4 linked regions of the Schizosaccharomyces pombe genome follow. The protein of the gene in region 1 binds, or shares a complex with, the protein of each later gene. Each region holds a gene or a part of one and is shown in the gene's direction. Other genes may lie near its edges. The genes, in order: rtc6, mrpl33, mrpl17 and mrpl40.

Region 1 (3,962 bases):
CACTATGTGCTGAAGGTATCACATACCATTGCAATGAAGAGCCACCTAAATGTACCTGAACTGCATGCAGCTCAGGAGATTCTACCCGCCAAGGAAGGGTAGTTTTCCATTTCCCAGCAAATAAGTGACCAACATTTGGCCAAGTGTTAATCAATGTATTCGATCTTAAATGTACCCTATCTTTTTGAGCAGCAGATATCGAAGGTATAAAATAGAAGGGGATCGATGGGCGATTAGTATATCCATACCACAGACTGTCATGGGTCAAAGAACGCCAATAATATGCAATAGCTTTAGCCACATTGTTTTCAAAGTCATTAGAACTTCCAGCGTTTGAAGGAAACCTGTCGTCGACATTCATATCGGTAGGCTTTTTAGGACCAGCCGAGCCATGGTCTATATCGCTTTGAATCTCGAAGTACTCTCCTTTCCGTCTCACCATTCGCTCTAACCATAAATCCATTTTTACATCGGAAGGTTTCATTGTATCTTCGTTCCAAGGATTTAAAACAGAACTAGGACGAACAACTTTAATTGCGCCGTATTTCTTGCCAAGCCTTTCAACGCGCCGAATAAAACTTTCCATATCTACAAATTCTGAAATTTTCTAAACAAATTTTGTTAACATCCACAAAATATTTAATATTTTTCGCGTAAACTTACTGGTTCCACAACAGGTATGCCATCTGACCCTTCGATATGATAATCGATTTCACACTCCAAAGAACTCACTGATGTGTCACTTTTGCCAGCATGTTTCTCTTTAACATTTTGCTGCATAGCAATCTATTTTTCAGCCTTTGGATTGAATATTTTGGTGTTTTTGAGACATCCACCAATTCGTGGGATTTGCTAAATTTTCCTTTAACAATCTTTTACCAAGGCAAATGACGCATCTGCACTCCAGTTCCATACCCAAATTAGCAAAGTATAACGAACTCGTTATACCAGCAACTAAAAACATAAACAAATTCTCAAAAATTGATCATTTCAAATTAATCGATTAGCATGCCAAACCAAATAACGTAGAATCAAAGTTATTAGATGATGCGGTCAATTAGCTATTTTAGGGACTAAGAAGGTCAGAGACTCAACATTAAAATTTTCATTTGTAAACAAAAAATGGAGCTACACTGTTGAGTTGACTCCACTTTAATAAAAGTATTCCTTATTTTAAAATAATGTGATAAATTTCAGGTCAAATTGCTCCACAGTAAGCTGGCTATTGAATTTATAGAATAACAAGACATGTTGGTTGTCACTAACTGACATGTCGTAGGTTAGCTTACTAGAAGCACTAACTACTATTTATTTTCCCAACAAAGAATATCCAACAAATCGGGCGTAAGCGAGTTTATATAACTTAGTATTCACCTTTTTTTTTTATGAAAATCTTCTCTTGTTGATAGGCATTTTCTATTATCGTTCTTTTTTGGCTCAGTCCAAATTGTGAACACTTTTCCATCGTACATCATTTATTTAGCTCAGAATTACTTCGGATCCAAAAAAATTTAAACATCTTGACTTGAAGTCCCAGTTTCACTTTTTTTTTAACTTATAATGGCTTCATTAGGTCGTAAATTTTTTGCTGTGGGTGTTTTGTCACGAGTCTTCCCTTCTGCTTTTAATGCACAAAAAGGGTTGTTAAAAAATGCATCTATGTTCTTAACCCCTGCTTTCAGACTTTCTCCTAGCCTTCTACCTTGGAACTTTTCAAGAGGTTTCAAAGTGAAAGCATCAGTAAAAAAGCGTTGTTCATCCTGCTATTTTGTGCGTCGCAAAGGTAGGTTGTATGTACTATGCAAAAAACATCCGAGACATAAAACCCGTCAAGGTTAATGACTATAACCGGTTTCGCTTCTTCTTTTTTTTTCTACCTAGGCTAATTCTTCATTACGCTCACTTCATATTACGACGATTTTTGGACTACCTACCAAATCCTTACTCCCTTCTCTCTCGTTAATGCGTAGTCATTAAATGTGATATTATTGTTGACATTATAGCTTCATGCTAAAGAATTCATAAAAACATACGTAATCTTAAATGATATGCTTTCGCATCTTAGTCGATTTTTTTCAAAGCCTCAGTAAGCCTTTCTATACTTTTCTCATTATCAGTAATAACACCTTGATTTTTCTGGATACGCGTCGTTAAGTAATGAGCACGATCCTTCACACCTGATTCAAGGTTCCCAAGGTCCTTTAGCATTTGTAGCTCCTGTTCATCATTCTTGATAGCATTGTTAGCCATGCCAATTAACGCGTTACATCTCACCAACTGCATATTAGCACTTAATACTGGATCATTTACAAGTTGCCGGAAAGCCGTAACATATACAGGTTTTCCAGCGTAGACTTTATCCGGTCTTGCATTCACTGTGGTAATAGTAATCAATTCTGATTCTTCCAAGGCACGAACGGCATCGTCGTGTCCTTTGAACAGTGGGTCAAGCATCAACATATGATAGGGTATATATTCATGTTGAGATAAATAAGTAATTAAGGTCCATGACTCTTCTGGAGTGAACGTTGGCTTCTCCTCACTGGTTAAAGAAGCAGGCCGTAAAAATGTTTGCAAAATATCAGAGGCATTTTGACTTACAATACCGCCAATTGCTTCAGAAACACTGGAAGAATTAACCCGCAACCTACGAGCTACATAATCAAGATCACGAAGTCGGCCACCAATCTTCGGTAATTGGACCCGCAATTCTTTCCTCAATTCTTCTGTTTGCATCTCTTCGGGTAAAGACTCTATGACATATCGCTGAGCAAGTACAGGGTCAGCATCTCCTAATAACAATGTTCTATTTTCCCAACCGTTGACATATTGCTCTAATGACTTGGTGCCTCCAACATCGGGTGTTAGCATTAGTACATGAGCAATTCCTTCCTTTACCAAATTACCAGCCCATTCAGCAACCACTCTCTGCATCGGGTTTGATAATTTACGAAGCTGGAAATTGTCGAGAATAACAACAGGTAAGCGATCTGCATGAACTTCTAAAAACTCAGATTCATCCAACACACTAGTATCGGCTTCTTTATGCTCTCGTAATGCTAGAGAACGCAATACCGTTTGTGTTGTGTTAAGAATTTGCCGCACTTGTCCTTCACTAGAAGAAACAATTCCCGTTTTTTGTCCTATGAGACCTTGTGCAGCCATATCGATAAGTGACGATATGTTGTTTAGGAAGCTAAAGAGGGGGAAATACCCCGTTTGGCTAGCAAGAGTACTTACGAACATTTCCGTATTAGTAGTGGAGAATAAGCGATCACAGTCGAAAAACAAAACATTTTTTCGTTCTTTAACAACTCGATCTACCAGATCACGCTTACCACTACCACGAGGACCTTGAACAACAATAAAAGAATGTAATGCTTCATCCAACCATTCTTTCAACTGTTCACAATCCTTTTCACGTGTTGTCCAAATCGGTGCCTTTATATTTGTACCATTTTCGTGAAAGGGACTCAAAACTATATCGCGAGTTTTCTTTTTGACCCACCCAACAACATTGATATTTCTCAACTTCTGACCATGTACAATGTTTGTCTCGACAAAGAACTTTCTTATCGGATCGAATAAAGAAGCCGTTAAAACTGTAATAGCCGCCGCAACCAAAGGAATAGTAAAACGAGGATGAGAGAATAACCAGTCTTTGAAGGCGACAAAGCGGTTCATATGTCTGTATCGCATGTGGAATTCTGTTTTCCCATAAACAAAACCATGCATACAGTTTAAAGCTGACGTAGCGGACCTTAGCGATGAAAAACTCAAAGTAGCAGAAGTAGGTGAATTAATGGTCACGGATCTTAGTTTTCCATATGTCCTAAAAATACTATACAATCTTTCCTGGGAAAGGGGCGGACCTTCGAAATTCACATCTACTGTACGAGATGGAAATATATATAAATCTTGAAGCCAAGGAATACCATGTACCATGTGTGGAATCGGGGTAG
Region 2 (8,428 bases), on another chromosome or scaffold:
ACCGAACTTTTAAGAGTAAATGCAACTTTGAAGTCGCAGCTTAAAAATTACGATATGATTATTGTTGAGCAAACCTCTCAGTTGAAAGAGAAAAACAGGATAATTGCTAGTCTGACAAAAGCCACTAAAATACTGAATTCGGCCTCTAGTATCGAACAGTCGCGCAATTCGGAAGAGAAATCACGTCGTGATAGTTCATTGATGGAAATGCGTACTCAAAAAGAGATGCTTGTGCTATTAATGAACGATGGCTTGAAGCACGATCTTGACAAACTCACAGAATATGCAGGTAGAACATTTACAACTCTTAAAACTCTATTACTAAAGGACAACGATGTTGAGGCTCAGAAACTTGATCATTTGTTTTTAGCAAAACTACTTTTTATAATAATATCACAAATGTGGAAATCAAATCTGTGTCAGGAAAGTGTTGCCTTGGTTGAGCGTTACTGTGTCCACACTTTAGAATACGTATTTCAAAAGACATCATCTGCTAATGAGAGACCTGACATCGGATTTTGGGTTGCAAATACACATGCGCTCTTGGCTTTTGTTTATACTAAGCAGCAGGCGTTTAAACATTCCTCGGCTTTCACTCTTTTATCCACCGAATCTCATGAATCAGTGCAAACCATTTTTGAGATGATTGAATCACATCTGTCAAAAATCTTTTTCGAATGGGTTAGGCAAGTCAATAATTTTTTAAAGCCATTGATTGTTCAGGCAATGATTATTACTGGTACAAATACGGATGCTGGAGATGAGAATCGAAAACTACGGATTAAATTTTTTGAGAAACCAAAATACAAAATCACCGATGTAATACATGTACTAAATAAGGTGCATGATTCTTGTCAGGCCTATAAAGTTAATTATGAAATATATAATGCATTGATTAGAAGCATATATCGATTCATTAATGTGGAGGCATTCAATTCACTTTTTATTGATGAACGTGGATCTTGGAAACGTGGTACCAATATTTCATACAATTATCATGTTCTTAAGGATTGGTGTCTAGAAAGTGGTGTTCCGGAAGCTTATTTGCAGCTCGAAGAGCTTTTACAAACCTCCAAGATACTACAATTTGTGAAAGATGATCCAAATTATGTGGCCAGGGTCCGCGACTTTTATGCTCTTAATTTTCTGCAAATAAAAACACTCTTACATCGTTATGACTATGCTGACTACGAGGCTCATGTACCGAAAAAAACTATGTCTGAATTGTCCAAAAATATTGTTGCTGAAGGCATCAATCAAAGGGAACAACTTACTTACGAAGTGTTGGATTATAGACTACAAGATAGTTTTGAGGAATCTCCATCTCTTGAAAAAATAAAGATACCAGATGATTGTAATGTTACCTATTTGCGTCGTATCATCGACCTTGCTAGTGCAGAAGAAAGTGTTGAGCAAGCTTTGATCACTGTAGGCAACGTAGCCGACAATGATGTACAGAACTCGAGCGACGAAGAAAATCAAGTACCAAATGGTATTAAAGTTTAATATCTAGTTATTTTTCAAGGTGCTCTGCCTACTTATTTATTCCCTAATTAGGGGTTTTACTTTCAAAATTTGGAGCTGGGCCTTAGTTTCCGTGGAAGTTTTAATCAAAACATCCTGATAATGACAATCTTTTACGAGTTTTATTTACTGCTAAATATAAATATCTATGAGTATTGTAGTCTATTCTACTTCCCCACTTTGTATAGTTACTTGGTAACTTAATTTATTCTTAAATATTTATTTCGCTTGCGGAGTACGCATTGGTTTCAGTCAAAAAATACCTACATCGAAATACTTTCCATAACTAGTTTGTCACCAAAGACTGAAAAGAAAGTATATTTATTAGATCATTTTTAATATAAAGGCTGCAAACTACTTAATAAAACACGTAAATTGAAGTACGAAGTCTCATGCAGCGTTAGCAAGAAGCTCTACTCTATAAGCGAGAATAGCTTAACAAATCCGAATGTGTTAAGAACAGACAAAAAGCAAAGCAATAAAAGCATTTTCAAAATCTATTTGACATAATAAAAATAAACACGATTACGGAAGTCCCTTAAGTGTTATAATGGTCTATAAAAAACTTGTATTGTAAATTTCTACAATAGGAAGCTTGGGTACCACAATGGATAGGACTATTAAACCGAAAGGCATATCAAAAATTTTATAACCAGATACATACGTATAACGTATCAACATTAAAACTTTAATAGGAAAATATCACGTAGGATGAATTATCCAAACTCATAAATCCTGATCAATAATTTTTTAGTTAGCTCACACCGACTGCTTATGTATAAGACTCAACAAGAGTGTCTCTGTTGCTTATAATAGCAGAAGGTTGAGCATCTTGAAGTTTAAATATAGATTCACAGACAGCCAATTCAGTAGCCGTAGTATCAAGTCCAGCAAACGCACACCAGTCGTTCACAACTAGACCAGCACCGATAACATCGGAACCACGGTTGATGGTACCGGCAACAAGAGGAACTTGAAGAAGTGATGACAATTCATCCTGTTCCTGAATGCTAGTACGAGGGTGAACCAAAGCACCTTGATTGCTCAATGCACAATACGAACCGGTTAAAACATTGCCTGCAACGGTTTGACGGAAAACTTCAACATCTAAGACATCAGCAATAATTTCCTCGGTTTCACGCTCAATATCAGGATGAACAAGGGCCACATAGTCGTTGCAAGCCACAATGTTTCCTAGAGCTGAAAGTCGTTCATCAACACGTTGGATTTTGACAGGATCTGGAAGAGAATTGCGGAGGTGCTGTAGTTCATTATCGGTGGTAGAAGAGGGAACTAACAGACCTTTTCTATTACCACATGTCAAACGACCAATGATTCTGGTTCCTCCAATTGTGGTATGAACAACGGGTACAACATCACCTAACTCTGCCTCGAACACGCTGTTATAAAAGTTAGTGAAAAGTTGATAAATGTAAAAAATGCCAAAAAAAATAATTTGTCGAGCTGCATCGAGTCAAGGAATAATAAAGGTAATGAACAGCAAACCGCCAGAGTTTAAGTAGTGGTTTGCATTTATGTAGCAAAGTCTCTTTTACTCAATTAAAGAGTAGTTAGGCTACATCATTCACATATGTGCTATTTATTTTTCTCATAATACGTTCGACTGGTTAAGGATTTTAAGAACCTTTAAAAAAATTTTGAATCGTTTACATTTAGAACATTAAATTTTGGCATCAAATAAACGTTAAGCTTACCTGTAGAAGTTTTCAGAGCCTCCAAGCGCTACAAGTGCGTATGAGTTTGTGAGATTAGAAAAGACACCAATCCTATAATTTGTTAATATCATGCGTCTATTAAGCAAAAAAGCTGAGTAAACTTACTCATTAGAATTCTCGAATTGAGCACGAAGTGCCATTTTGGTAAAGAAAAAGTTTTATCCCAGCCAAATTTCACATCTTAAAAATAATAATCCATTGAACATCGTTAATATGATATTAGCATTGTGAAGCAGACACGTAATACCAATTAACATAATTTTTTGTGATATATCGGTAATACTGCATTACACTAATGATTTACTAGGTTGCGTATCACTATATGTTACATGTTGGAATATTAGTAAAGATCCGTTTATTGACAGTAAACAGATAAGTAGTCGTCTATACTCATAGACACCATGTGATTACAACTACTAGAAAGATGATAATTATAGATGTTACTGTAAATCGCTCCTCTCCATTTTTTAACCATATCGGTGACTTACACTAATAGACTTCTTATAACAATAAATATAACATTGTAGTTAATATACTGCATTCCACTAAATGTGGATCGCAAAAAATTCATCGTAATTCAATGTATCGTTAAATAGATAGCAACGTAGTGAATAATAGTGAACAATAACGAGCTTGCGATATGAATTGTATTTTATCGGTTGAACTAAAAGAGTTTCAATATTTAGTGTTAAACGGACTCCACGAACTTCTAGTTTACCATAATGTCATTCTTTCGAGTTCGTTTAGAAAGGTCAGCCATCGGGCTCTCGAGGTACGTGTTTTGGAAACGAGAAAAACATGCTTGTAATTGCTAACCAATATTTTAGTAAGGTGCGCAGCGTTTTGCATTCTTTGAGGTTAACAAAAAGACACTCCGTAGTCTATTGCGATGTAAATCCAATCAATGCGGGAAGAATTTTTAAAGTAAAAGAACTCGTTAGTGTCAGTACTGTGAAACAAAAGTTAGCCGCTGGGCAAGAAAAGAAGTCTCTTGCTTCTAGTAGCGGATTTACAGTGATACATCGATACAATAACGGTTTAAAAGAATTGAATAACATGTTTGAAAGTTAAATTTTCATTCTAGTTATATTTATCGTAATAGTTCATCTAACCAACTTTGGTCTTTGTTTGGCTTTTCAGACATATAGTTCCTAGAGTCGTTTCTTGAAATATGCATGCTGGAATGATTAGAAGAAATGTAATTTTCCCCTTTATCTTCTGTAATGGAAGGCGGAGCAGACTGATCCATACTTTCAAGAAAAGAATCAATATCTTCTTCCGCTTCAGCATGGCTAATGTTTACCTTTGGCTTTTGTACATTATAACGCTTACGGAATTCTTGAATTGACTTTTCATGCTCAACGCTCTCCAACATGTCGGCTACTTCTTCACGTTGGATAGTCCGAACTTTGGACTTGGGTTTTTGGTTGCTAATTCCCAAACCAGTAAGGGGCCGTGCTTGTAGTTTTGAATACTCGAAATCTTCTTCTTCATCTTGAATTGTATCTCCATTCCCCACGGTCTTCAAACTTTCCAAACTTGGATATTCTTCCTCATTGTTATCTTCATCAAAGTATTCCCCTGCATTTTTAAATCTCCATTCGTTATTTCCCAAATTTTTTTTACGAGGTTTTACAGGTGCATCATGAATGTCATGCTTTTTTTTATACGCTAATGTCGCTTTTCTCTTCCATTTATCTTGTACTACCATATGGGACGTCGTGTCTGAAGAGGCAAGGAGGAACCTGTACCCTATAAGACAATAAGTTTTTTTACAATGTTGGTCAATTTTTTTCTTTTCTCGTAGTGGTTTATATTTTTAACGACTCGAGTATAATAAAATTTGAAGCAATAATAAAGAAGAATCCTTTTTTTTTTTTTTTAAGCCAAACTTGCTTAGCGCTTTTTAATAAAAATTCGCACTCGACTGAACACTAAAAAAAAACTTTTCAATGATTGTACATTACTTGAATGTATAATAGACAGGTTTCTGGGGAAGCTTCTTCAAGATAGTTTATCTACCAGAGTTCAGCAGACCTGGGTGATCGAAGGAACCTAGATCGTTTTTCGTAACCAAAAGTTTAGAATTTTTTTTATACAATTACTTCTCGTTAAATAATTCTTCCTAAAAAACCTACTATTCGATGGTAACATCAGTTGTTTCGGTTTTTTCATTTGCAGTATAAATTGTGATGTTAAAGGCTTACTTACAAATCATACTAGTTAAAATAGGAATTTTAAAAGTGCAAGTTTGTTAAAATATAATTATAAACTCAATTCGTAAGTTCGTCGAGCTTGCAACTAACAGTCTATAATACAGTTGATAAATTCCACTTGCCAGTCTTTACAAAAAAAAAAGGAAGAGAAGAAGAAAAGAAAAGAAACAGTACACAAACAAAAAGACAGAAAATGATAAAGGATAAAATTCATCTGTCTAATACCATCGCTCATCGTTCGTCCAATTCTTAGTACAAATACGAAATTATCAAATCATAAATAATGAATTATAATTATGCACAAAAATATGTCAGCTACGCAGTTGATATCTGTTTAACGATACATTGAACTGCAGTGACTCTCTTGCGAACTACAGTATAGCGGTATACGCTATGCTAACTAATACTATTATATTTATTGTTATAAGGATGTCTAATAGTATCAATTACCAATATAGCTAATAACTGAACTGAGGAGTGAGAGGCAGCCGTAATTCCATTTATAAATTTCCTAATCTTTGTTATCAACTGATGTCTATATTTAGATACATGATTTGCCAAATATTTCTAACATATGAAATTAGTGATACACAACGTACTGTAATGATGTTTACAATATGATTTATAAGGAAATTTAAGTTGGGGTGAATAAAAAGGGCAGTGACAGAATAAATGTGTCAGAAGCAATCCACTGCCTCGTTCAGTTTTTTCGTTCTTCTTTTTTTATGCCATTGTTTGAACAATTTTATTATTTTGTTAAAAAGTCTTTGAAGTGGTTGGAATTGGACTACAGAGCGAATATTCTTGATTTCGCTGTTTCGTTTGTCGCAATCACAGCAATTAATTCGCGCATGTGTTTTATTAAATAAAGAATGATCTTGATGAAATGAAGAATAATTACACTTCTTTGAAAAGTCCTCTAGATGAAGAAGATGAATTGAAGACAGATCATGAAATCGATTTGGAAAAAGGACCACTCCCAGAATATGATTCGGAGGAAGAGGGCGCGTTACCACCATATTCAGGTAAGAATTGTAAATAATAAGAAAGGAATTACTCAATTGAAAGTTGAAACTTGCCATCTTGTCAAATTGCATGCTTTGGTCATTGTTTACAGTCGGCCATGCAATGCACACACTTTGATACATGCTCTTTCTTTACTAAAGTATTTCATTATATTAATTTAAACAGATCATGCACTTGTAAATAATCCTCTTAACACACATAGAGAAAACCATTCTTATGGGACGACAGATAATTCTTCCCCTTTGTTGATAATACTGCTAATATCATTCACTTCAATCATTCTATTCAATGCTCCAGCATTTTGTTATCTAAAGTATAAGGACGCTTTTTTTAAAAATTATGGTGCAGCGGAATGGACATTATTTGGATTTTGGTGTCTTGTTTGCACTTTGGCTTTAATATTCTTGACTTGTAAGTGAGACAATGTGGTTAATCTTACCTTCATTCACTAACTCATGAGACTTCTATGAAACTTGGTCCAAGGCTTGCGGAAAAGGAATCAAGCACTTTTTAAAAAATTGGAGAAACATGATTTTTGCTTTTTGTAAAAGTTCTTTATTTTGCTTGGTTTTATTAAAAGCTGAAAACAAATTGAGTTCACATTTGGGTGATCAACGATGGGGGTGGAAATGCTCGGCATCCGCTTTCACTTTCATGGCTGTATCAAGCATTCTCATATTCATTGCTGAAACAGGTTTGTTGTTTACTAAACAAAATTAATACTGACAACATAGTGGAACCGGGATCTTGCTCTACAGATTTGGTGAAAAGAACACTAGCATTTTATGGTAAATTTGATGATAAAAAAAAAAAAAATCACATTAAATGTGTTTGCTAATCATCATTAGGTTATGAGATCAGACAGCACGTGAATGAAGACGCCACTATTCTGTTGCGTGAAATGAACCCTGAAAGTGAAGCCTAAATATATTGCTAGCTTTATTATTTGTATTACAAAGGTGCTTTTTACACGAAACTCTCTACAAGAATGTGCAATGGGAAGAAGCATCTTTATAATTGTGATTACCAAAACGTTCAAATGAATTTGTTTAGAGTATATTACACTGTATTTTTATTGCATGGTTTCATTTCCTGACGAATTGGATGAGCAAGTGCATTGCTTGAAAGATTCTGCAACATAAGAATAATATGCACTGGACATTAAATTTTTTGATTAATTATGAAAGTGATTTTGATAACGATGACAAAACATTTTAACCTAAGTCGAAAACAGCAGTTTGAAAATAGTCACGATTTCAAATAAGGGAACCTGAATTTGCTACTTATCTTCATAATTTAGTTTCTGTGACCTTCAGAGTGCTGCTGACTACCATAGAAAAGTACAGGAATTTAATCAATAATTTATACCTTACTTACTAGTTAATTCTTAATTTTTCATTGTTTATGAATTAATGATTAATAATATTAATTTCATGAGAATTAGCAACATTACTTGCGGAAGCCATCTTGGATGTGTCTTTGTTAAGTGAATAAGCATTGATTAACTTTTATCTTCTATAGGAGATGTCGCTTTCAAAAATCGTTCTGGGTTTACTACTTGACACACTTATAAATCCAACAATGATTATCAATCGACCCATCATTATTAGTATTAATCATGAAGTTTTATCAATAACAGGCATACTCGCTTTTTACACTAGCTGACTTCGCTGCATTCCTTTTTTGTATTGAATATACCGGCACCCGTTACTGGTCGCTACATCTAGGGCAGAATTTTACTCGAGATCACACAGTCTTAAACCGAGGATAAGCAACGTACAAGTATTGCCAAAAAGAGTATGTACTGTTGTATTAGTGCTTGATCTAGAAAGTACAAAGGATTTTTTCTAATTATGCTGTGCAGTCATTTCTTCCTGCCAAATTCAGTGCGACTGACTGGTTATTGAACTTACTCGACTGAACGAA
Region 3 (9,221 bases), on another chromosome or scaffold:
CATTACCATAATAAAGTATCGTTCGTTCACATTTCTATATCTTCCCTATAATATATGTGATAATTCTTTTTCTAAAATTATTCTTTCACTTTCAAACTCTTTAACCGTTTAAACTGTTCCTTCCTTGTTATTAAACTATTCATTTCCACTCTGCTCCCAATACTGTCGATCGATCACTTTCATTATGATAATGTAGTACAGTGGAAATTGTTAATATACTTTACAAATCTCTCTCGTTTGCGTAACTTCAAAATAACGTTAGTAAACTCGTTAAACAAAATGTTGAACCCCTTAAAGAGCCAGTTTTCCTTCTCTCCTTCTACCATCACCTTCGTTGTATAACTACTGCTTTACGCCCCCACCACCAAATGCCCCGTTGTGGTTCCGGCCCCCACATTAATGAACGCTGAAGAAGATCCAAAGCCGGCAGATTCTGATAGCTCTGAAGAGTGTATCATCTGTCTTAGTAATTTACCAAATTGTCCCTTAGATCAATGGGATTCCAGTAGTGTTCCCGCTTCGATTTCGTCGACCTTGGATGGTCTTCGAATTGCGAAAATTCCTTGTGGACATTATTTTCACAACCACTGCTTGGAATCATGGTGCAGAGTTGCAAATACATGTCCTCTATGTAGAACGGAGTTTCTTAAAGTTGACGTACTTGAATTCGTGAAGGGACCCTGGTATCGTGCATACCCTGTGGAGGAGAAAACCCAAAGCGTTGCCAATGCTGGCGAGCCGTTTGAAGACGAAGGTTCCGAAACCTGTCGCTGTGTCATATGTGGCCGCTCTGATCATGCTGAGGTGCTTTTGTTGTGCGATGGGTGTGATGATGCATATCATACATATTGCTTAAACATGGATGCAGTACCTATAGAAGAGTTCTATTGCCCTAATTGTGTATTGTTAAACTATCAAGAAAATGAAACACTCTCTTCACGTATTTCTCTTTCTCGAAGAGGCCAGACAAGACGCAGAAGGGTAGGAGCAGCTGCTCGTGCCTCGCGAGTTTCTCAACAACAGCAGCGTGCATGGACACGTGCTTGGAATGCCATTAGAAATCGAGCTTGGGATGCATTGAATTCAGATCTCTCATATTATGGTATGCAACAAGAACGACTGCCTGCTCGTGACGTCTCGTCTGAACTTTTGCGACGTCGTATTGAGAGTGCACGTCTACGTTCCAACCAGCTCAATGAGCCAGTTGAGCAGCCACGAGTAGTGCAGACACCAGTAACGAATGCTTCTGAGCAGCAAGCATGGAATGATTTTGATGAAATTCTACATGCGAATTCATCGGTCCACTCCGTTGCCACTGAGGCTACCATTAGTAACCCACGACCTTCGTCGGGTCGATTTCAGCAAACGCCTATAGAAGAACATCATCAACAAGATACTCGATTTGTGAATGACCCAAATTCCACGAGTCACGACAGGAGGCAAAAGCGACCTACTCGTCGGCACATTCCTTGTTCTAATAAATCCTCAGGATCTTCTACAGTATTAGGCAATAATTCATCATCTAAATCAGAGAATTCTTTTCTCGCTAGTTTAATTAGCAACATCAACCAGCCAAGCACCTCACGAATAGATACTTCCTTTATGTTAAGTTTACAACATGAGATTAAGAATTCTCACTCTGAAGCTTCGGATGGAACTTCAGACGTTCACTTGACTCCTCTTTTCTCAAATCTCTCTCCTCGACCATCTCACGTACCGCTATCACCTAGGGAAATCAGTAATGATAATTTGGATGACCATTTGATTGAACTTTCGGAACCAGGAGAAATTGTGGATAATCATTTAGTTAATGATACGAGTATGCATCAACGACGCACTTCGGGCCGACATGATTTGGTGCATTCCAGCAAAAAAGTCTCTTATGAAACGAAGTATCGAATAGAACGGCTAGTTAACGCAGCTCTGAAGCCTTATTATCGAGAAGCAAAAATATCTAAAGATCAATTTGCTCTATTCAATAAGAATATCTGTCGATCTGTATACACTGCGTTATCGGATGGTACTCTGTCGCTTGAAGGACCTCAGCAACATAAAATAAGCAAGACAATACGGGAAAAGGTTGTTAACTGTATACAGTCTCTTTCAAATGACTGATTATGAGTTATGTATTTATGATAGGAGTTATGGTTTGGTGCATATGCTTTTAATATTATATCATATCTAATCTTTTGGAAATCAGAAAGTAACTTTTGAGGTCAATTACAATTTCCAAAAGAGTATTTATTTTGTTAATGAAGGATAGTGTTTCTTTAATGTTTGAACAATATATGTTTGCAAGATTAACACTCGTCAAGAATGGAGTCTTTAAGGATTTCGCTTTTAGAAAAGAGGAAACAATGTATAGATCTAGTGATTGTCTTATTCTATTTATTGAAGTATAACATTTTGCATTGCAAAGTGAGACCGTTAATATAGCATGCAACGTGTGCTCAATATAGGCGTTGGTAGTATATTTTGTTTTAATTCGAATTTGAAATGTCATGAAAAAGATTGATAAACTAAAAAGTCTGTAAATTTGAAACCGCAAAAAATTGTATATACTTGCTTAACGTCTTCTAGGGGGTCGAGGTCTCGAAAAACCAGTTTTGGTGGTGCTTGTTTCTGCTTGAGGACTTGATATCCCAGCAGCATGAAGAATTTCCTTTTCAGTTATATCAGCGGCATCATTCGATTCAATCTGTCATGTGAGCATAAAATCTACTACGAGGGATAAACATACCTTGCCATCAATAACAATACCCAATTCTGCTTTAATACTATCCAAAAGACCAAGTTTGGAAGAAGAATAAACCATTCGATGTTTGACAGTTGCTTGCATTGGACAAATGTATATAAACACTAGACCTTGTTAATAAAATGATCCTGCATCTGTACTTACAAATTTTTGAAGAGCCGTCTTTTGGCAGGGAATAGAAAGCGAAATTAGGTTCGGTGGAAGAAAAGAAGGATTTCACATCAGAAGGAGGTATATTTTGCTTTTCTTGACTTAAACTTATGACTTCTTTGTCAATAGACTTTTAAAGGAGGTTAGCAACACCATACATAGCAAAAGTATCATAGCTTCCTTACCAAAATAACAAGATTGTTTTCTGTAGATGATTTTAAATCAGAAAGAGCCTTTAAGGCTTTATCATCAATCGACATAGCAACACCACGGGTCACCAAAGGACGCTTATGAGTTACTGAGGATTGCATAGACTACATAGTTGTTAAAATAGATGCAAATAAAAGAGTAGAAGCTATAAATTCTACGAGCCACGGTAAAGAAGTATGAAAAATCCATCCACCCCAATACAGTTTACCTACCTCATTGTACTCTTTCCTTTCGAGTTCATCTTGTCGTAAAGGACTTTGGTCCTCTTGCTTGCTTAAGCTCTTCATAATTTGCTGATAATCTAACTCTTCCGGAGTACTTGCGAAATAAGACTCGTCGAGTTTAGCAAGAGTTACGCATCTTACAAATGCAGCACGACTAGAGGCATATAACATCTTCCTGCGAACATTCGCATTTTCAGGGACATAGGAAATTAATTGTAATAGATTTTTCTTGCTATCATCATAAACGAGGACAAATGCAGGTTCTTCAGATCCGAGCAAACATTCACGGACTTTCTTAAAATCAGATTCTATCGATTCTGATTTTTCAACCATTGTTTTCACGTCAAATGAATTCTCTAAATCATTTAGTAACTTCAACTAACTTAAAATTTACTCTTCTAGCCCGAATGGAAACTTACCATTAGAAATGCTAATAATGGCGGCGCGAACCGGTACCGAAGAGTACTCCTCGAGAAATTTACTGAACTTCTCTGTAGCTATCCACACGTTAGAAGAATTTAGCCAAATTTCTTACGTTTTAATTCGACGGAAGCAGACATTGTTATGGGGATTGAAAGGTTTACTGCGTCAGCAATTCCCCATTCTAAGTGAGTTAAATTGAATTATAACGAAATCCAAAGAAATCTATTAAAACATATTAACGATAGCAACAGAGTCTCTAAGAAATATTACAGTACTTAACGAAGCGTGTAATGTACGCTGGTAAAACAGGTGGTAGTGCTAGCCATAGCGAAACGTCGATTGCCTTTACCAAGTGGTCTTTACCGGATTAGTAAACAAAGCCGAAATTTGGAGATTTACTTGGCGTAAATTGACTAAGTTTAAACAATGTACTTGAAGAGAAATATTATAAATATGCAGAGGTCTTTTTCGCGTCAATTTCACATTTCTGTACGAAATTCCATTCAATCCTCTAAACCCTTGTCTAACTCGACTCCTCTAAAAGGTACAGAATTAAAAAATGAAAATGAATTATCTAGGGATATTAAATATAAATAAAAAAATTACCTTTGATGTACATGATTGCTAACATATCTTAGGTTGTTCAGTGGGTACAATTTTAATTAGATCGCCAATTCTTACTCGCCAACCATCCGAATTCGAAAAATCTATATATAAATATAATGCGGAACTTTGGAATGAGCTGAGTGATCCTTTACCTGCAGAATTTTATTTCAAGAAGGGATCGGTGGGTGAAAAAGATTGGCAAGAACGACAAAAAACACTAAAAGGTAAAGAATCACCCTTTGAGACGATATTTGGAAAGGAAAGGAAAGAGATGGAGTCTAACAAATTATTGGATTCTGCAACTCACTTGCAATCCAGAGTCACAGAAGCTGATACGAAAAACGATGAGCGAAGCACTCTTCGCTCGCTTGACAAGTCCCTTTACTTGTTGGTAAAAAAATCTAAAAGCTCGGGTTGGCAATTTCCTAACACTCCTGTTACAAGCTCCGAGAAGGCGCTGCATCTGGTAAGTACATTTTTTAAAATTCGATTCCAAGATACACAATATAGTGCAAGAGACTACTTACTATTGATTTGATGCTAAATAATTTATCAAATACTCTTGCAATTTTTGTTTACATAGTCTGCAGATTGGCCTTTCTAACAAACTGTAGTTATGTCAAGATCTTTTAAAAAATATATTAGACGAAAATTCGTTGACTTGGCTAGTTGCACGTCATCCATTAGCATTACTAAAAACGGAACAAGAAAAGGTAAGACTACGGATTTTTTGTTCTCATTTTATCTGGGTTGATTTTTTGTTTAACCAGTTATTTCTAGACCTTCTTGTTACGTGCTCGTTTATTAAATGGATTAGATGTACCTAACCTGCAAAACGTTTATGACTGGGTTTGGTGTACGTACGATGAACTGAAAAACAAACTTTCTCCTTCTTCATGGGATTCTGTAAAAAACATACTTTCCGATCGTTTGTAATCTTCAATTGAGCAAACAATATGTAAAATCTACGGAAAATAAACAGCGGAACATTTCATCTTGGAAATTCAATCTTTCTACAATCTTACTGCATTTTTCAGCTTAATTTTCACGTTTTCTATTTTTTTCTCTCCTTAATTTTTGATGTTTTGGTACGATGTAAAAAAAAACAAATAATTTTGGAATTTCACTAAGTATTTCTCCTTATTTATTCTATCTTTTTATTTGCAAATGATTCTGCCAGTATTTTATTTTCAGCCGCCTACTTTTGGAGTCCGGATTTCATGATTACTCACCCTCATGATCTGTGGATTCTTGGCAGTGTACGAGAAAACGGGAAAAGCGCGCACCTTAATAATAAACTATGTTTAGCTCAAGGGACCTAAAAAAATAGAATTGTTAATCAAAATTGATATCCGTAGTTTGTCCTCAATTCCAAGATCAAAAATTCTTTTGTCAGTCATAGTCTAGCCCTTAAAGACAATGTCTGTATAATTTAGTAATTATCAGAAATGATATGTGTCAGCATAATCCTTTGAAAGTTCATTAGAATGCAATTATAGACTTTGCTTTCTGGAAGCATTAAACCGTACATACACTTGACTTACAGATTTAGTCCCACTACAAAGGAATTGACAAAGGGCAACTTTGTAGAATTCTGTTTATAAACTCGGTTCTTATCAATAAAATGTTAACAGAACAACAGACTTTGGAGTTATTTCCAGAAAATTGGGAAAGAAATGAGCAAGTTTTGTTGAAATACCCGGATGGGTTACCCAAAGATGTACTCGCTGATCAAAGAGTTGATAATACAGAATCACAGGTAAAGGATGAAATAACTTCTAACATTACGAATCAAACTCAAATTTTACTACCTGCTGATTCCTTTCCTCAGTATGGGTCATATCCTAACAATTCAGAACTCGATTATGTTGTATGCACAAAATGCGACCGACCCTTCCTATCAGAGTATATTGAGGACCATCATAGCTCATGCAATGGAATTAAACCTCCTAAGCCTCAATTTGAGCCTGTTGCGAATTCTCAGGTTTTAAACAAAGATGTCAACAATGGCAATAATGCACCCATCAAAAATGGTGTTAAATCGACAGCTAAGGGCTCAGCTGGGAATCATGAAAAGAATTCAGTTAATGGTCAAAAGAATCCTGAAATGCCTCCAAAACGTCGGAAGACAGAAGAAAACAAAAAGCCTACAAAATCCGCCCTTCCCAAGAAAGAGGCTAGCAAGAAGAAGAATCCAAAGGTCAAAGGTATGTTGGTTTATGCTGTTCAATATGGAGAATGGAGTACCTGTTTACTTTAATACTAACATTCAATTAAGGTCCTGTGGATGTTGAAAAGCAATGCGGTGTTTTGCTTCCTAATGGGCAAATGTGCGCCAGATCTCTCACATGTAAAACGCATTCAATGTCAAGCAAACGAGCCGTTCCGGGAAGATCTCAGCCATACGATGTTTTGCTTGCAGCTTGTCAAAAGAAAAACCAAGTAAAAATACAACGACAAATCCTCGAAACTGCAAAAGAATCCGAAGATAATCAGCATCAAGCGCCTGTTGATTCTGATGAAGAAGTCAGTTTCATTATGAATGTTCTCCAGAAATCTGGCAATCAGCCTTTGGAGCAAAAAGTTTTTTTACCCGTAAAACGTCGCCATTCGTATTTTCGTACTAGAGAGTTAATAGCTGCTGCATTTCGACATGGTGAGCAGGGTATGCAAGTTACTGGTACTATATTGGGACGAGTGATTCCTTTTAGTGCCCGCCAACCACTATAAAGAAATTCTTTTGATTTTGCTTCGGTTGATGATTTAAATTCTTTATGAGATTATAGTTTACATTTTGGTCTACTTGACCACGCATTTTCGACTTTTTAATTTTCTCCTCCGTTCATCTAGTTTCTATTTCATTAATTTTTTCATTTTTTATTTTGTATATTGCACCATACGGTCTTAACATTTGGAATAATCAAGTAGAAGTTAATAAACTATAAAAATACCAATAGAACCCAAAACCAATAATCAATTCTAAAAAAAAGAAAGAAACAAGTATTCTCCAAAAATATATGTACACGTTTGTAGTCTAATTTTTTAAAAGAAACAGCAAAGTTTATGGTATCAGTTTGTTGCAAATCCTCAGTCTCACAATCAATCCTTTAGCCCTCTAAATCATCCTTGTTTTCAGCCGAATCTTCTTCTTCATCGCTAGAAAGAACATCAGGCAATTTTGAGGAAACCTCTTGCGTCTTTTCAGTAATGCCTATATCTGATAAATAACTGAAATCTTCTTCATTATAACTGTCAATAAAAGACAAAAAACAATGAAATCTAAACCGGTTAGTTAATTTAAGAAAAAAATATACTTACACTTGTTTACGAGCTTCTTCGAGAAAAATTTTATCATAAATATGAGCATGCTTAAAAGCAGTAATTTTTTGCTCGTACTTTGTAAAGTCGATAGGATCACGATTATTCTCTGGAGCTTTATGTTCATTATAACCTTTAAAAAACGGTGACTCTAATAAAAGTCCAAAACCAGGTCCCTTGGGTATGTTAATTTTTGTTTTTTTAAAGGCATCTTGTATGCGCTCAACAGGACAACCCGTTCGTACAACTAAAATAGCAAGCGCAATCATCTTTCTAATTTGGTGCAACATAAAAGATTGACCATGAACTTTACATGAAATCCATTCTGTATCGCCAATCATGAATGGATCAGATGCCTAGAATGTTAGAAACAAGACTTGTCAAGAATACTATAAATACAAAGAAGATAATTCTTACTTACAGTAAAAGAACGGATCACGCGATTACTATTCTTCTGATGAAATGCTTGCCCCACAGTAAAATTGTGAAAGTTATGAACTCCAACATATTGGTTTAAAGTTTCTCGAATAACGGACAGCCTATCTGCGGAAATACGGTAATTTTTTAATTTAAGTACTTCAATGTGCTTAAGTGCACGTTCGAGACGATAACTGGGATCAATCTTGGAACCAGCAGATTCGTCTTCAACAGAGTCAGGCTTTAAAAACTCGTTTACAATAGCAGAGGAATCGGAATCCATATCTGGATTAGTTTTAGCGGAAACTCCTGCTTCAGAGCCCTTATTATTTTCCGAATTAGCAAGAGCAGCAGCTCCCCTTTTAGAATATGGATTTACGAAGCCTTCAGGATCCTGTTCATAAAGGCTCAAAATCTCTTTGGCTGCAATATCATAATCATCCCAAAATTCCTTTCCTTCTTCATAAAATAATGAACGACTGAGTTGATTTATATTTTCCTTGTTAATTGGCTCAGCAGGCATGGGAGAATTCTTCATAATGCAATTTCCAAGTATGGACGAAGGTTTCGGTGGAACAAAAGCATACGTTGGAACCATATATTCATATATACGAGATTCGCAATAAGTCCTTGGGTTAAAAGAATTAATAGTACGGATCACATCCCATAAGCGAATGGAAGGAGGGAGGTGTTCGTTCACTTTTTCAATTAACTTCTCATCTTCCATTATAAGTTTGAGACTGATAACATTTCCAGCGGCATGAACTCCTTTATCAGTTCTTGCGGCTCTTGCTAAAGCAACTTTCTTTGGGTCATCAGCGTTATAAGAAGAAACGGCACCAGCCTTCACAAAAGCATCAAAAAGATCTCCTTCGATTGTTTTACTAGGAGGATTCAATTGCATACCATGATATCCGCTACCACAATAACCTACAAGACAGGCGACCTTTCTTTTCGGCTTTTTTTCTCCAACTACCAAATTCTCTGGCCGACCTTCTCCATTGTATATAGAATTAGGTCGGTTCCTTTTCGCTTCTCGACGATCACCATTGTACCAAGTGCGTTTACCACCACGTCCCATGCTGTAGTTAATATTATTTGTTTTTGATGAAAACGCA
Region 4 (9,034 bases), on another chromosome or scaffold:
ATACCGTCGGTACTCTCGTTACCCGTGCTTATACTTCAAAGGAGAGCGACACCTTTATGGGTATCATTTTCGGAACCGGTACCAACGGTGCTTACGTCGAGCAAATGAACCAAATTCCCAAGCTTGCTGGCAAGTGTACTGGTGATCATATGCTTATCAACATGGAATGGGGAGCAACTGATTTCTCTTGCCTTCACTCCACTCGTTATGATTTACTTCTTGATCATGATACTCCCAATGCTGGTCGTCAAATCTTTGAGAAGCGCGTTGGTGGTATGTATCTCGGTGAGCTTTTCCGCCGTGCCTTATTCCACTTGATCAAGGTTTACAACTTCAACGAAGGTATTTTCCCTCCTTCCATTACTGATGCTTGGTCTTTGGAAACTTCTGTTCTTTCCAGAATGATGGTTGAACGTTCTGCTGAGAATGTTCGTAACGTTCTTAGTACATTCAAGTTCCGTTTCCGCAGCGACGAAGAGGCTTTGTACCTTTGGGATGCTGCTCATGCAATTGGCCGTCGTGCTGCTCGTATGTCTGCCGTTCCCATTGCTTCTTTGTATCTTTCTACCGGCCGCGCTGGTAAGAAGAGTGATGTTGGTGTTGATGGTTCTTTAGTCGAACACTATCCTCACTTTGTTGACATGCTCCGTGAAGCCTTGCGTGAGCTTATCGGTGATAACGAAAAATTGATTTCCATTGGTATTGCCAAGGATGGCAGTGGTATTGGTGCCGCTCTTTGCGCCCTCCAAGCTGTTAAGGAAAAGAAAGGCTTGGCCTAAATCATGTTAGATGTCTGTTAGCTTTTTTTGAATTGTACGTAGAAATGAGCATGTAAATATGAAATTGCTTTTTAACAGCTTTTAGTTAAGATGTTTTTTTTGAAAGTGAATTTATTTCCTGGAATTAGTTAATAGTATGAAGATTGAATATCAGATGAATTAAAAAGCATGTTGTGATTGATGTTATATGTCTCTTTAAAACAAAATTGTGGTTGTGTATTGTTATTAAATTTGTTACGATTTTGTTAACATTCCAAAAAAGAGTACGGAATTTACAAACATTACAGGACATCTCAAAGATGTGTGTGTAAATTGATTCTAACAAAAAGAAATTTGATTTTTTTTAATCTGAGTTTGTAAAAAATAAGATTCATCATACCCTATTATCTCAAATTTATGAATTATTCGGGTTCAAGATAAAATCTTCTTTTTCTTTCAAGAAATCCAATTAACCAAGATTTGTTAAAAAATATTTTTCTCATCGTTTAGTAAATTTTTCTGCAACGTTGAACGGTGAAGTTGTGCTAGCAATACTGCATACTATATAAATAAGAACCGGAAAGCGTTTTCCAACACCCAAAAGGTGTTTTTTATACTTTATTCAAGAGTTAAAAATTAAATAGCACGGTAGTAAAACCAAATTGAACAAATTAAAAATTGAAAGCGTCTCAAGTTTAAAATTTATTTAAAGAGCTTATATCAAAAAAGTAGAAAACTTTCCAAAAGGATTTCTCAAAAGAAAATCCTCCTCATTTTAATAAATCATTGTTTAGATAGATTTGGTTAAATTTTAACCAAAAGGATTATCTATTTGCTAATTTTTTAGATAACTGGAAATTGCCTAATTACACAATCTTTTTTACCTTTTTTTGATGATTGTATGTTTAAAGGGGATGTAGTTCAACTAAAAAATTGCTTATTAAACATGCAAGAGTAAATGATTATTGAATATGTATAGTTGCAACAAGAAGCAAGGTTGCGAGAAATGACAAATGGGTTGACTCAACTTTTTTCTCATTTAAATTTTTGTTTCAGTCATTTTAATAAGGTCCTTGTGAATCGATATCAAAAGAGGAGGTGGAATAATTATAAAGATAACGTTTCTGAATATCATGGTTTTCGAAAAAGAAAGTCTTTGAGGTCATGAAGTTTAGGCTGCTTTCGGTTTTTTTACTCCATACTTGCTTCGGGATGTGACACGTCCCGCTACACCAGCAATGTCATAGACACCCCGAACAACATGATATTGGACTCCTGGACAATCCTGTGCTCTGCCGCCTCTTAACAATACCACAGCATGCTCCTGTGCATTATGACCGATACCTGGAATGTAAGCAGTAACAGAACGGCCGGTTGAAAGGCGTACACGGGCAACCTTTCTTACTGCCGAATTAGGTTTTTTGGGTTTTACTGTAAAGACCCTCGTGCACACACCCCGTCGAAACGGACTTCCCTCTAAAGCAACAGATTGCTTATTTGTTTTTTCAGGACGTTTCTCTTTATTTCTTATCGTTTGATTTAATGTCTTTAACATAACTGAAGAGCTAGAAAACGCTTGAGCCTGAAATGGTGAAATAACTGTTGGCTTCATCAACCTTGAAATTACCGGATATCGAGCATATTGAGCAAAACGGATCATTATTTGGGGAAATTTAATATTTGAGCTGTATAAAATCTCAAAAATCACTATAATAGATGCTTGAGCAAGGAATTCCGAAGTTTGTACCCGAACGTCGCTGGTTTGGTGTTAGTGTATGTATATTGCCTTGGAATAGAATATCTCGCAGCATTCATATTATTCGATGGGATACAAAAATTTATTCTTTTATATTTTGACAAACATTTTTGGGTATAACTAGCGTATTAAATATTTTTTCCTCTAGGAATTGAACTTTAATGGACTAGTCTAAAACAGATGCAGAATGTAGGTATGCTAATCGACAAATTTACAGTACAGTGTTAAGCTGAAAAAATCAACTTAATTCATGACTTCTACTGAAAAACGTACTGGAAGTAGATTGTATTGAGGTTTAAGCTTCGTTTTGCCATGCCATTTTCAGTTGATGATAGTATTTATTACAATAACTTATCCATTCATTAAAACTTTAAACACTGATATGGATTTATCAATGTGTTTGACTACTTACATGAAACTTAGCAGAAAAATTGAGCATCAGGCCTACTCCATATAAAGCTTTGACTTAAAACTTAATATTTTCTACTTGTTAAATGTCTTCGTTTGGTTACATATCTCCATAAATGCATATGCTTTGTTTGGCTTAGCTACTGAAAATTCAGAAACAATTAAATGAACTCCGAATTATAATCTATATTTTTTTTATCAGTGTGTGAAATTGAAGGGGATTTGATGAAACACTTCTTTTTTTGAAATATCGTACTGGTGGCTTTTCCTAGTGTATCACGACTTACTCTCTTAATTAGCTTCATACCACTGAACACGTTTACTACTACCGCATTTTTCTCTACTCAGGTTTTTTAGCTTTTAAAGGAAGGTTTTATGTTAATACTTTTGAAAATTAAATTTTTTTCTATCAACGTGAAAAAATTCAAGGAGTACTTTAGTTTGTGTTGAAAAGTTTTTTGGCAGATGCGTTCTACGTTACAATTAATGGCTAAGGCCTCAAAGGGAAAGCACCAATCTGGTCCTTCTAATCATAGTGAGTCAATCGATTTGGTTAGAAAAGCTCTTTACGGAAATAAAAAAGTCAGGTCTTTGAAAATGAATCCAGACATGTGGGAAAAACACGAAGTTATTAATCGCGCTTGGCGTATACACGAATATCGACAAGAAAAACAAAGAGAGAATCTTCTAAAAAACCAATTCTCTGCAATGAAAATTGCTTGCGAGGAACTGAAGCATACGAGTGAAACATTATATAAAGCCGCAATGAGCGATTCAATTAACAGGAGGTTCCCCGTAGAAACGAGGACTCCTACGGACACACCACCACGGCTTTCTAAATAGGCGAGCGCCTTTTATGAGTATAATTAATATCTTCGGTAGTGCTCGAAAGTGTTATAGACAAGTTCAAGTATATAAAAAAATGTATCACTAATTACGAGCAAGTATAATCTAATTAGGATTTTTAAATAAACCAATAATTGAATTAAAGAATTATGTCTCCTAGTTTCTAGTCTACATGTATCATATTATTCATTCCCAATTTCACCGTAAACGAATGATACAAAATGAAAGGCCATGCTTTCTTTTTTAACCAAAAATTTAGAATTGTTACCAAACCCAAACCCTACCTCGAAAACAATAAAATATGACCCAAACACTGTTTTCTTTTTACAACGTGTCGCAGATGAGACAAAATGTCTTTAAAGCCAGAATTTACGTCTATCTGATTCTTCACCGGCATTGCTCTCGAAGAAAACCTCCCCTTCTTTCCTATCCCATACTCCTTTTTGAACCATACGAAGACGCATGGTAAATCGAGGACCTAATTCTTGTAGCCCAGTTCCAATACCATCTGGCATATTCGATTTTTCACGAAATGCATAACGGTGTCTTCGAAAAAAAAGAAAATCTCTTTGACAATGGATGGTAACAACTTGTCGCCCTTGAATTTGAGGCGTTTGAATAAATAATGATTGAAAGGCTCGAGCAACAGTCATACCAAGTCTCGTTGAGAAATTGTTGATTATCAGTTCTGGAATATGACCAGTGGAGCGGCCATGATTTGAAATTTCCTTTGCTGTTTGGAGATTCGATAAGGTAAAATAGAACGAAGGGCCATTCGGTAAGTGTACAAGGGTTAATGCATTTGTTTTTTTACGATCCTCATTTAATACCAGTAAATCGGTGTAACCACGCTTAGCAGCGGCTTCTGCGATTTCATGAACTTCAATATCTCCGGTTCTTTTTCGAAATTCAGCATTAGGAAAACAATCTAAAAGCTCAGATGCAAAATCATAGCATTTTCTAGAGGCTCGTTTACTCGTGGTTACCAAAAGTTTCGGAACTTTCCTTTCTTCACTAAAGTATGCAGAAAACTCATCATCTTTTAACTCCGCCTGAAGTTCCTCATCGGGTTTATCCTCTATGATAGTTTCATCATAAACTCGTTTCGATTCAATAGTAGCGGGAATATTTTCTGAAAGTCGCAATCTCTTCTTTTCCGGGTCTTTTTCTTCTTCTTTAGCACGTTCTTTTCTTCTTTCAAGCTTGTCCTTATTTTTTTGATGAAGAGCCTTCATATACTGCTGTTGGCGGACAATTTTGTTTTTAATCTTCCCCATTTTAATAAGTTGCGTATAATCTCTCAAAATTTAAAATTTAAGAATGAAATAATTTAAATCCTTACAAAAAATTGCAACTAAAAAAAATTGAGATAAGAATGAGCAACTTAAGTACAAATAAAAGAGAGTTAAAAAAAAGTATACGATGGGTTTGAAGTCTCAAAAACTTATTGCACAATCCAATTCCATGTCGCAAAATACCGAATCTGAAGAACATGCTACGAATTTCGTCAAATTTGCTTAAAAGTATTAACGCAGTATTATATCACACTGCTGTTAAGCAAAATGTATACTTTAGTTACAATTACTGTTTGTAAATAGGTGATATTACAATCCGAAATCGTACACTATAGATATCCTCATCATTAAATTGTTGAACAACTGAAAGCATTGTGGTAAGGGTTCAACATTCTACAAATCACTCACGCTACTTTCATTTTCACATTTGAATGCGTGCTTTGAATGGAACTAGCAGAAATGAAAGGGACGATAGTCTTTTAATTTCATTTCTTTACTTTCTTTTTACTTTCTTCTGAACTGAATTGCTATATTGATAAATTAAATAATGTTCTGGATAACCAGAACGAATCAGAACGTGTCTTTTAATAGCAAAATTTTTCAAAACCAAAAGCCAATGAACAATGTAAGCAAAAAGGAGGAGGAAAACAGATTAGGGAATTCATATAGAGCGTATTTTCAGAAAGGTTATTTGTATACCTTTTTAAGTCCTAGCCTCGCTCATGTCGAGTACTTGAACCATACCTCGGTTTTTGGTCTCATTTCGGACAAGTTCATCTATCAACTTATAATTCCCTGGAATCACGAGAGCTATGCACTCATATTCATCATCAATGTTTTCTTCTTCAATTTCATCAGCTAAAGAGCGTAAACGCTCTCGTAAAGCTTTTCCCTGTTTGACATCCACCACTATTCTGATGCGCATACGCGCACGGACGATAGGAATTTCGTTTTTTTCTTGCAATTTCTTAATAGCTTCCAGAGCTTGGGACTTTGCAGTTTTACTGGTAGAGACAGAAAAGCCACAATCAGATAATGCTTTTTCAATTATAGATGCTGGATAAGGTCGTTTAGAATTAGGATCCATGCACATCGCAGTAACATGGGAGACAATATCGCGATAAGTTGAAGACATTTGATGATGTCTTTCCTTTTCACCTACTTGAAAATCTCCTTTTTGCAAAATTTCTAAAATAATTTTATCTATATCATCTGTACCAAAAGCCTTTTTCAAATCCTGTCGGCTAGCTACATGTCCTTTAGAAACATTGTTAAACACATTGTGGATTTGTAAAACTTCATCCAGATCTGTTTCACTAAACTTGGTTAGCTATGGTTTTGATCAAAAAAAATTGTACGAGTTATTGAGTTGTTGACACCAGTCGACAAGACACGTGAATTCAAAAAGATAGCTTGTTATAATTTTCTGCTGATCTTAAAGAATATTTATCTGTAGCAAAGGCTGACTCTCACTAATTACAGTAGCTTAATTTAATGAAATCATGCATACATTTTGTTTCTCCATTCTGTAACTTTATTTTTATAACAAGCAACTTCAAATCTTTTCCCTCCTTTCTTATATTTTACAACGGACACATTGGTTAGACGAATTTGTCCAACAGGTTGACTAATAACCATTTTGCTCAAGATGGGTACTTTTTTGGATTATTTTTTGTTATTCTCACCTTCTCTAATTATAGTGTTTTAATCCAACGCCTAAATCTGTTAAACAGGTTAACAATCCATACACTATATATCGGTATTTAGATTTATCTGAAAATTAAACAAAAATTTGATATTTGCGAGCCTGAAAGGCAAAAGGATGGTTCCAATCATTTTTCGGATGTTAACATAATCTTGGAAAACCTTATGGTTAAATATTTAATATAAGTGCAAGTTATTTGTCGGGTTTTCTAAACCAGTTTACAAATCACGAATGATATTAGGCTTTTAAAAATTATTACCTAAATTCAGCAAATACTAAAAAAAAAGTAGAAAACAATAGAAGTATCGACTAAGTTTGAGTTATCCGACAAAACTTCAATCTTACATCCTAGTATATTAACACAACCACTTGCGAAGCGTTTCTATACGATTTCGCTTAACATTTTCAATTTTAAACTTATAAACAAATAGATAGAATGACATTGTCTTAACGAGTACACATCATTTTAATGTTGGTTAACGATGTCGAAGCTGTAGAATATTGCGTGCAAAAGCAAAAGCAAATTTTAAATAATGAAACTTAACCACGTATCGCAAAGTTGCCTTTGTGTAACAATGATCCATTTCTTTACTTATTGACGAAGAGAGTACTCAAATAACAACTGCAAACTACCAGCAGGATACACATTACTGTTTCATAGCATTCTTATTTTTTCTCTTATATTTGGCCATATTTATCCTGTCTAGAGGTTTTACTTTCGTTCCAACATTACAGCGTAGTAAATTCCTCTGTACAAGTGATGTACCACCGTTAGTTATTTAAATATTATAAAACTTTTTGAGCAGAATGAGAGACTTGCGTAAATTAATTCCAAGGCTCCGAGGCCCTGGTACTAACGTCTTAAAAATGAAAAAGCCTTTACCGTTGCATATGCGAACCAAAATACGCGAACACCTCAATAAATCTGATCCAACTGTTAAAGACGATAAATCCGCTAAACCCGAGTTACCGTTTGGAAAGCCAGCTGACAGAGTCCCTTTCTGGCATATTTTTAAAGGGGATTATGTATATGTTCATCAAGGACCTCTGAAAGGAAAATGGGGCCGTGTTGTTGAGACAAACAAATACACAAACGGTATTACCATAGAGGGGGTTAATGTGAGATCCGTCAAAGTACCAATTTTTCTTTTGCGAAATAAGCCTGAAGATAACCAAGATCCAGTAATTGATATTGCTCACGAAGTACATTATGCAAATGTGCGTCTTCTTGCGCATGCAAAGACTGACGCCGGGGAACCAGTTCTTATTCCAGTTAAGCTTAAAAAGCATTCCTCAACTAATCTCCGGTCCATTATTCGGCCTAATATTGAAGGAGTACAAATTCATACTATTCATCTTCCTCGTCCCAAGACTGAAGATAAGCCTAAAGATCCCGAAGGTAAACTCGATACTAAGAATCCAGTAGTTAGTAAAGTTACTTGGTCTCCTAGCTTATCGGAGCCTCCTCTTCCTCCGTTTGCAATTGGCGATTTACGAGCCAATTGGTCTCGCCGTTTAGATCGTATATGGGGATATAAAAAGAACAATGATGATTTTACTGAAATTGCTAAAGATCTTGTCCGAGCAGAGACTGCTGCTGAAGATTTAATAAAAAAACCCATCTCTCCTAATACTTACAGTGATTAAAACAAAAACGATGTTTGGTCGTTGCAAGCATTTTTTTATAACATTACATAATGATTCACAATCTCTAGGTTATAAAGCTTAATAAACTTTTGTAAACTCTTCTAAAAAATTTTTCAAGAAACTTAAATATATTTAACTTAGTAGAGTAAGTGATAAGTGATTTCAATGAAAGTGAAGTATTTGAAGTTTACACGTTAACCTAGAAAAACTTTTACTAATCAATGTAGAAAATCTATACAAATCAAGATCTTTAAAGTCCATTAATCTCTTGTGCGAAAATTAACGCTTTGCCAGTTCATCCAATCTGGCTTGTAAATTGTCTTCAGTCTTTAACTCCGGTACCGTACCAATTTGGGTCGCAGCATCTGGCAATCCTTGAGACAAATCGACTCCAATTTCATCCAACACTTTATTGACAAGTTCATCAGCTTCCTCTTCGTCATCTTCTTCTAAAGCATCGTCCATATTTTCATCAATCATTTCTTGTCTCTGTTCCATAATTTCATTTTCACGCTCGAATTGCTGAGTGATACGAGCCATTGCCGGTATATTCATGCTTTTGTTCATCCCTGTCAATAACTTTGTAAAAGTTAGTTCTATATTTTTCGATATTAAGGTG

Evidence for each region.
Region 2: rtc6 (region 1) and mrpl33 share a complex: the UniProt entries of both Schizosaccharomyces pombe proteins name them as parts of the mitochondrial large ribosomal subunit.
Region 3: rtc6 (region 1) and mrpl17 share a complex: the UniProt entries of both Schizosaccharomyces pombe proteins name them as parts of the mitochondrial large ribosomal subunit.
Region 4: rtc6 (region 1) and mrpl40 share a complex: the UniProt entries of both Schizosaccharomyces pombe proteins name them as parts of the mitochondrial large ribosomal subunit.

What each region holds. Positions count from the first base shown.
Region 1 is NC_003423.3:1,518,089-1,522,050, reverse strand, and holds rtc6 (mitochondrial 54S ribosomal protein bL36m), read left to right. Parts: upstream 1-1,560; coding exon 1,561-1,839; 3' UTR 1,840-2,021; downstream 2,022-3,962. Other genes in the region: Lid2 complex histone demethylase H3-K36 subunit Jmj3, read right to left, coding at 1-607, 664-780; RNA-binding protein Yme2, read right to left, coding at 2,062-3,962. UniProt on the Schizosaccharomyces pombe protein: Component of the mitochondrial ribosome (mitoribosome), a dedicated translation machinery responsible for the synthesis of mitochondrial genome-encoded proteins, including at least some of the essential transmembrane subunits of the mitochondrial respiratory chain.
Region 2 is NC_003421.2:2,218,126-2,226,553, reverse strand, and holds mrpl33 (mitochondrial 54S ribosomal protein uL30m), read left to right. Parts: upstream 1-3,971; 5' UTR 3,972-3,982; coding exon 3,983-4,032; intron 4,033-4,087; coding exon 4,088-4,331; 3' UTR 4,332-4,350; downstream 4,351-8,428. Other genes in the region: myo52 (myosin type V), read left to right, coding at 1-1,506; tif6 (translation initiation factor-like ribosome biogenesis protein), read right to left, coding at 2,297-2,924, 3,240-3,311, 3,366-3,400; SPOM_SPCC1919.07 (uncharacterized protein), read right to left, coding at 4,351-4,971; wtf antidote-like meiotic drive suppressor Wtf25, read left to right, coding at 6,363-6,501, 6,668-6,913, 6,963-7,196, 7,237-7,290, 7,351-7,427. UniProt on the Schizosaccharomyces pombe protein: Component of the mitochondrial ribosome (mitoribosome), a dedicated translation machinery responsible for the synthesis of mitochondrial genome-encoded proteins, including at least some of the essential transmembrane subunits of the mitochondrial respiratory chain.
Region 3 is NC_003421.2:2,120,628-2,129,848, reverse strand, and holds mrpl17 (mitochondrial 54S ribosomal protein mL46), read left to right. Parts: upstream 1-4,103; 5' UTR 4,104-4,188; coding exon 4,189-4,306; exon of another isoform or gene 4,307-4,400; coding exon 4,401-4,834; intron 4,835-4,982; coding exon 4,983-5,081; intron 5,082-5,148; coding exon 5,149-5,304; 3' UTR 5,305-5,716; downstream 5,717-9,221. Other genes in the region: ubiquitin-protein ligase E3 Asr1, read left to right, coding at 400-2,115; twf1 (twinfilin), read right to left, coding at 2,567-2,698, 2,741-2,859, 2,900-3,035, 3,091-3,219, 3,328-3,695, 3,759-3,836, 3,875-3,899; SAGA complex deubiquitinating submodule subunit Sgf73, read left to right, coding at 5,993-6,575, 6,647-7,098; pus1 (tRNA/U2 snRNA pseudouridine synthase Lsp1), read right to left, coding at 7,476-7,647, 7,687-8,042, 8,108-9,184. UniProt on the Schizosaccharomyces pombe protein: Component of the mitochondrial ribosome (mitoribosome), a dedicated translation machinery responsible for the synthesis of mitochondrial genome-encoded proteins, including at least some of the essential transmembrane subunits of the mitochondrial respiratory chain.
Region 4 is NC_003424.3:2,666,405-2,675,438, forward strand, and holds mrpl40 (mitochondrial 54S ribosomal protein uL24m), read left to right. Parts: upstream 1-7,388; 5' UTR 7,389-7,575; coding exon 7,576-8,415; 3' UTR 8,416-8,534; downstream 8,535-9,034. Other genes in the region: hxk2 (hexokinase 2), read left to right, coding at 1-779; mrps12 (mitochondrial 37S ribosomal protein uS12m), read right to left, coding at 1,930-2,418; mrpl28 (mitochondrial 54S ribosomal protein mL40), read left to right, coding at 3,409-3,765; Brix domain-containing protein Rpf1, read right to left, coding at 4,125-5,045; SBDS family ribosome maturation protein Sdo1, read right to left, coding at 5,767-6,379, 6,574-6,701; ESCRT III complex subunit Did4, read right to left, coding at 8,695-8,994. UniProt on the Schizosaccharomyces pombe protein: Component of the mitochondrial ribosome (mitoribosome), a dedicated translation machinery responsible for the synthesis of mitochondrial genome-encoded proteins, including at least some of the essential transmembrane subunits of the mitochondrial respiratory chain.